2 linked regions of the Cricetulus griseus genome follow. The protein of the gene in region 1 purifies or fractionates together with the protein of each later gene. This does not show direct contact. Links are inferred from orthologs where the notes say so. Each region holds a gene or a part of one and is shown on either strand. Other genes may lie near its edges.

Region 1 (3,815 bases):
AAGTATTCACAGCCAAATCCAAAAGCCACAGGAGACAGAAGGCTCTGAGAGAAAAAGGCAAAAGTATTAGGATAATGCCACTGTCTCTCTCATTTTTCTCTTCTAATGTAATTTCCACCTTGAGAAAGATGAATTTGCAAATTACATCAATTATAAGGCATGTAAGTATTCTCCTAGAGTCCCTTTGGAGACAGGACTCCCTTACAGCATATAAAATGATTTCATTTATAAGCACTCATTATGCACACACATTTCAGAAATGCATGCATGAGAGCAGGTGAGACTTTTAGAACTGTATGCTTCCCAAGATATTCCAAGGCTCAGCAATCCTGTCCCCCATTCAGCCTCCTATAGTGACATCAAAGACTTTTTCCCTGATCAGTCATTGAGTATTCAGGATCAGAAGAGCTACTTTAAGGTTTGACATCCATGAGACTCAGCCTGAGGGACCTGCAGCATGCTGAGAGCCTACTAATATTAGTGACCCATGGCGCAGCTAGTGAGTGGCTTTTACTGATATTCTCACATGCTCAAAGACCACACCTACACACGAGAGGAAAAAATGTCCTGATCAGGGATCTGTGGGAGGGAAAGTCATGTTCAGACTTATTCAGTTCAGAAAATATTACCTAAGTCAAATACCAAAATGGATACAAGAAAGACGAGTCATAAATGAACCACTTGTGGCCGCAAGCTATCCATGGTCATGACTTTACTGTGATCTTATTATGGCCAAAGAGCTAGAAGACAAGGGGTAGATGTGGTATCTACTGCTACACTAAATACATTCCCCAATGTCATTTATATCCAACATGTTCAAGGTACAATCTGATCTCTGACAAAAATCAAATCCAACTAGTGCTCACTGTAAGGGCGAAGGAGGAACAATTGAGTAAGAGAGGAGTTCAGAGTGAATGCCAAATCCCCAGGGGTCGGGGTCAGGAAGGACTACAACTCTGGAGAAAGACTAGCGTTACTCACAGCAAAGATCTTGATGGAGAAGCCCACGTAGTCCTGCCAGGCTACACACAGGACATATGGCAGGTACAATGTGAAGTAGATGATGCCCCCACAGGCTGCTGCCAGGTTGGCCCGGGAGAAGAGCGTGCTAATGAGGAAGCACTGTAGGATGGTCACCACGGCAAACACAGACAGGAAGACGAACACTACGCTGGGATCACTATAGGGCAGCAGGTTTCCTAACTGGAGAAGAAGAGACTGGATAAATGTGTGACCTTGGCAAGCCCAGTCACTCGCTCATGTAATCTCAATGCTAGTTTCCACTCATAATTCTTTCAGAGATAATGTAGGGGAACCACACTGTTCAGTTTTCTGATGCAGAAATCAAACCCAGGAGAAATACCTTACTTGAGACTACACATTTAAAAAAAAGCCACAGCAGAATTATGGTAAGTGCGAAGTTCAGGACCTTCTACTTGATCTCAGTGGACAATATTGCTCTCTGTTTCTCACAGAGATAATGATACCTGGCTTCTCCTCATTCAAGGACAACCACTGCCCCTAAGAAAAAGTTGTGTGGGACAACAGCCCACTTATCCTCTCTCTCCACCAACCTAGAAACAGGCCAGGCAACCTTAACCTTACCCTGGTAGCTACAAAGTCTTCATGTATGCATAAATGCTTGTGAATTTTCCCACAGGACCCCTACCCTTGTACAAGGCTTAGGTCCTTGCCCTTGGATACCAGAGTATAAATAAACAGGTTGCAAATAAATCTTGGTCTGTCATCCTGGCACGATTTAGAGAGGCTCTGGCCTGCCCTGGGAACTCCATGGGTTACTATAAGGTTACTCAGCGAGTGCTCAGGAGTAATATATATAGCTAGCATTAAGATGAATATTACATTGTCTTGCTTTGTGCTCTCTCTCTCTCTCTCTCTCTCTCTCTCTCTCTCTCTCTCTCTCTCTCTCTCTCTCTCTCTCTCTCTCTCCCTTTCCTCCCCCGCTGGAAAACACTAACTTTTATAAGAGGCAGCTTTGTATGAAATAACGATGAGTTAAGAAAGCTGAAGAGTAGATTCATGTATGAGACAAAAATTTCACTGCCCAGACTCCACTTTAAGGGAGGGCTTGCCTGTCTGCAGATAAAAGACATCCAGATGTTAGCGTCTCTGTTGTCATAGCTAGGAGAGCTTCCAGGCCCTAGAACACCCCTTTCCCTGGTGAGCCCCATCCAATGACTGACTAAATGGGAGAGAGGATGTCAGGCCTTAGGGATAAGAATTTGGGCTTCTTCTCAGTTCAATGTGGGAAACTCCTGGACAAGCTATAAATTCTCCAGAGCACCCCACTGGGTTGTTGAGACATGGTTCAATTCCTCTCTCTGCATGAGCCAGCATATGTTCCATCCCTCCAGATACTGATCCCTACTAATATCCATATAGCAAAGTCTGCCTCAGCCTCTTCCTCCAGACATCCAAACTGTAGTATAACCTTCTGACTATTGCTTTTACCAACTTGAAAATAATCCCCACCCAACACTCCTAAGGATTGACCCTGAAGTACAGTGTGGTGCAGGTAAATGTGTGCTTTTCTGGAAGGAGAGAGGCCCCTTTACCTTCAAGATGATGACCAGCAGGCCAGCACTCACAAGCAGAGGGATGAGGCTGCTGATGAACCAGCTAAACCAGAGAATACCATTGTCCAGGCCCATGATCCGCATGGTCTCCTTCAGCCGAGCCTCCTTTTCATATACAATGCCCTTGATGATCACAGCAACAGAGTAAATCCAGGCCAGGGTCATGAAGAGGGGCATGGACCGGCTCATCACCCGAAGGAAACTGGAGACACAGATGAAAAGCATGGAAAAAAGCTCTTGCATATTAGAGGGAAAACTACATTTGGGTCACCAAGGGAAGGCCCACTGGACTCTCAAATGACCAAATGTTTCATTAGCAGTAGACAGAGATGAGAACCTTGGCTGACAGAGTGCAGCCATCCAAAATTTCTTTAGGGGATCACTTTAATAACTAGGAAATAGTGGGGATAATATTAAAATAAAGGTAAATTACTTTACTAAGTACTAAACACTAAAGGAGGGGACAGAGTCCAAGGGTCAGGGTCTCTAATCACCTCCTATTGACGTGCATTCACTCCCACACTGTGCAGAAACATGCATGTACTCCACATGGAGCTGCTTGTTTAATAAAAAAACAGGCTGGCTTGTTGGTACACTCACATGTCATCAACGTAACAGGGGTAGGGCATCTGTTGCACATAGACACCCGTTTTCTTCTCAGTTCCCGTCAGCACTCTGATGATCGCTTGCTCTACCACATCCTGCAAGTAGGCGAAGCCCCCCCAGACATATCGCATATCCTCAAATGGGTCAGCCCGGGGACCAGGGTCCCAGTACCTAAAAGCAAACAATAGACATACTGGAAAATCCAATTACCCACATTTCCCACACACTTCCTTGGCTACTATTCCTATTTTTTAATCTATTCCTATTTCAATTGATAAATACATAGATTCTTGAATAGAAATAATCACAATGAACACACTCCTTATGGTATATTTTTTCTTTTCTCCTTAGGTATAACGTTACATCAGATAGACATACTAAAATTTCAACTACCCACTCCCTTTTATCGCTTGTCTGCTTCTTTTTATAAAAATGTGTCTGGCTAGCACAGAGACCCCCTAAAGGCTTTTCTTTCTTTCTCCTGACTTTTAAGTCCTTTCAGTTAATCTTTTGAACAGGAATGCTGAAACGGAAAGACTAATATTTTATGGCCTTTGATTAACAGTCCCCAGCAATGCAGTTTTAGCCAAGTCATGCTGCTGCTACTGATTT
Region 2 (3,286 bases), on another chromosome or scaffold:
GAGCGATTGCCAGGATAGGCTCCAAAGCTACACAGAGAAACCCTGTCTCGAAAAAAACCAATAAATAAATAAATAAATAAATAAATAAAATAAAGAGGAAATATTCCCCCAAGACTTTTCAAAGAAATAGATATTTGAGCCAAATCAAGGATAGTGAGGAAATATTGTCAGCTGTATGCAAAGATCTGTTCTAAGTGCCGAGAGTCAAAACTCTAGCCTGTACCTCATGATTATGTGAGGCGAGTGTCCTTGGATGGGACAGTGGGTGGCAGAGTTGAGGAAGGAAAGCTAGGGATATCCGGCCTGGGAGAGGAATGACAGTTGGTCTTAGCACATTTGACTTTGGGGCACCTGAAGAGCCCTATACCTTGTCTCATCCAGATCATGTTGCTGGAGACAGCCAGACGCTACAACCATGAGACAGAGTGTATCACCTTCCTGAAGGACTTTACTTACAGCAAGGATGACTTCCACCGTGCAGGTCTGTGGAGAGCACTGGCGCAGGGTCCTGGTGTTTCTGCCCCATTGGACCTCCAGGTTGGGCACTGGCAAGACCATTTTTGTCACCTGGCACTCTGGCAGGAAATTAGGAAGAAGCACCTATACCTAAGGCTGACTCATGGAGCTCGGTCCTGGAGAGCTCACATGGCTGTCTCCCTGAGGATGGGACTGTGGGCCACTGCCATCCAGTGTGAACAGAGGCTTGTTCACGTAGCTTTGGGAATCCCGTCACTTCTACCCGAATGACTGTCAGTATCCTTAGGCATCCATTCCCAACTTTGTCTTCCTTCTTTAGGCTCCAGCCCGTCTACTATACAAGGAGTCCTAGGATCCTTCCTGTGTGAGCTTAGCAGGGCACGTGTGGGGGAGAAAAGTATTTGTTGTAAGGATCAAAAGCCCTGCAGCCAGGCTTGAAGGAAGCTCATGGAGCCCCAGGCAGTCAGGTCTAGGAAGATGGGACTGGAAGGACATCAGCATCCCATCCTAGCTCTTCCACTGCCTGGCCCCAGGCTCAGCCACTCCTGCTTGGATCCTTACGAGGACTGGTGGCTCTCAGATACTACCCTCCCGACATGTGTGTCTTTACAGCAGTCCAGGGTACTGTGCCAGTCCGGTAGCACCCATACTCCTTCTGCTAGGACAGGACCTGACCTCCATGCTCCTCTGCCTTGGTCCATTCTGTCCCAAGCACTGGTTGCCTTGTTCTGAGTTGGTGCCCATCAGCACAGTCCAGCATCAGGGCTTAGCATTAACTATGCCTTGCTTGGAACTGGGTGACAACTCCTTGTTTGCCTGGAACCTGCCCAGATGGATTTTTTTGTTTTTTATTGGGTCTCACTGTGTAGGCCAGGGCAAACTAGAATTTGTTGTCCTTTACAGAGAAAGGGGTGGGGTGGTGTGTAAACCACTCTCCTCCAAGGCCTGGCACATAGTAGGTACACTTAAATAGTGGTTCATGAGTGAGTCCTAGCATATCTTAGTCTTTACAGTGTGGGCTAGCCTATACCCTTTTCCTCTGCCTTCACCAAGACAGATTCTGGGACCTGAGAAGACGGGACCTTCCAGGATGTGTGTGGGGGAAGGGGGAGGGTGTTGGTGCCGTCTTGGTGGCGTGGCTGCTATATAACAGACATTCACAGGGTCCACACTGGGAGGGAGCAGGCGTAAGTGTTATGAGGGGTGTGGAGCTAATCTGGGACTGCTCTTGCAGGCTTGCAGGTGGAGTTCATCAACCCCATCTTCGAGTTTTCTCGGGCCATGCGCCGGCTGGGCCTGGACGACGCCGAGTATGCCCTGCTCATTGCGATCAACATCTTCTCAGCAGACCGGCCCAATGTGCAGGAGCCCAGCCGCGTGGAGGCCCTGCAGCAGCCCTACGTGGAGGCACTCCTCTCCTACACGCGAATCAAGCGGCCGCAGGTACGGGAGCCCCTAGTCCCAAGCCGGGGGCTTGGTGGTGGGGTTAGGTGGTACACACCCGGGCATGCCGATCCTGTGCCCTCGTTTGGCTGTTATGAGGTCAGTAGAGATGCCCCAACCTCCGGGTTGGGTTCGAGGCTGGGCTGACCACTCATGGTATTGACTTTGCGGACTCAGCTGGCCTTGCAGGGCAGTGCCCTTATCAGCACCTGTCTGCCTCCTTTCCCCTGCAGGACCAGCTCCGCTTCCCACGCATGCTCATGAAGCTGGTGAGCCTGCGCACCCTCAGCTCTGTGCACTCAGAGCAGGTCTTTGCCTTGCGGCTCCAGGACAAGAAGCTGCCTCCTTTGCTGTCCGAGATCTGGGATGTGCACGAGTAGGGGCCACCATGCATGCCCCAGCTTGGTGGCATCTTCTTGCAGATGGACGCTTCGCCTTCCCTCCTGGGGTGGGAGGACATGGTCATGGCCCAGCCCTGAGGGGCTCAGCCGCAAGCCCAGTGGCAGTTGGCACCAGGAGGCCCCTCCCCACCCACCGAGTCTTCCAGGAGGGGTGACGGTCACAGGTCCTAGCCTCTGACCTTCCCCAGCTGCCCTCCCACCCAGCTTACACCTCAGCCTACCACGCCATGCACCTTGAGTGGAAAGAGGTGAGGGCTGGTGTCTTCCCATATTAGGGAGACCTCAGGCCCCTTCCTCTGCCTCTTTTATTTAATAAAAAAAAACAAAAACAAAGAAATAAAGTCTGAATGCAAGCCAACCCTGAGCCCAGTGTGAGAAGTAGTTCAGGCCACTGTGGGTGGGGTGGTGTCCTTACACAGCATAGTTTGAGGCACTGGAGGTCAGAGGGTTGGAAGGGAAGGGGAGAGGAGCTTTATGGGGAAGGTGATGAGAGGGCCCTTCCTGGCTAGGGGCAGGCTTCCAAAGTTGGGGACTGAGCATCTGGCCATGAATGTCATAAACAAGAAAGGAAGGGACTTGTAGGGCAACAGAAGTAAGTTATAGGCGACCCTGCGGCCTGCGGGAGGTGGTAGGCAGTCAGGTAGCTTCCCGCATGCCCGCAGGGGGCGCTCGGGAATCACCAACTGCGTCTTGTTGCTGGGGGCGTGTCCTCCGGCCATAGCGTCATGAAGGGCGGGACTGCAGTCCAAGTTGGGTGGAGGGGCGGGGCCCTTTGCGAGAGGGCGTGGAATCGGCTGGGGGAGCCGTGAGGTTTGCCCGCCCTAGCCGGTCAGGGGCGGGGCCCAGCTGGCGCGCCGCAGCTCTGGGCCTGCGCGCAAAGGGGTTAGGGGTCACGGCGGCGTAGTTTGTGGCGGGAAAAGCAGTTTGATGCGGGTGAGTAAGGAAAAGGGGCAATGGGACGCTCG

Evidence for each region.
Region 2: the proteins of Abca1 (region 1) and Nr1h2 purify together in Homo sapiens (affinity purification with western blotting; 3 studies listed by BioGRID and IntAct, with this or other methods). This does not show direct contact. The link is inferred for Cricetulus griseus from reciprocal best matches to the Homo sapiens genes ABCA1 and NR1H2.

The regions. Positions count from the first base shown.
Region 1 is NC_048595.1:90,700,716-90,704,530, reverse strand, and holds part of Abca1 (phospholipid-transporting ATPase ABCA1), read right to left. Parts: intron 3,375-3,815; coding exon 3,198-3,374; intron 2,800-3,197; coding exon 2,577-2,799; intron 1,204-2,576; coding exon 982-1,203; intron 45-981; coding exon 1-44. UniProt on the Homo sapiens protein: Catalyzes the translocation of specific phospholipids from the cytoplasmic to the extracellular/lumenal leaflet of membrane coupled to the hydrolysis of ATP.
Region 2 is NC_048599.1:153,424,200-153,427,485, reverse strand, and holds the end of Nr1h2 (oxysterols receptor LXR-beta), read left to right. Parts: intron 1-381; coding exon 382-481; intron 482-1,711; coding exon 1,712-1,920; intron 1,921-2,153; coding exon 2,154-2,300; 3' UTR 2,301-2,685; downstream 2,686-3,286. UniProt on the Homo sapiens protein: Nuclear receptor that exhibits a ligand-dependent transcriptional activation activity. Binds preferentially to double-stranded oligonucleotide direct repeats having the consensus half-site sequence 5'-AGGTCA-3' and 4-nt spacing (DR-4).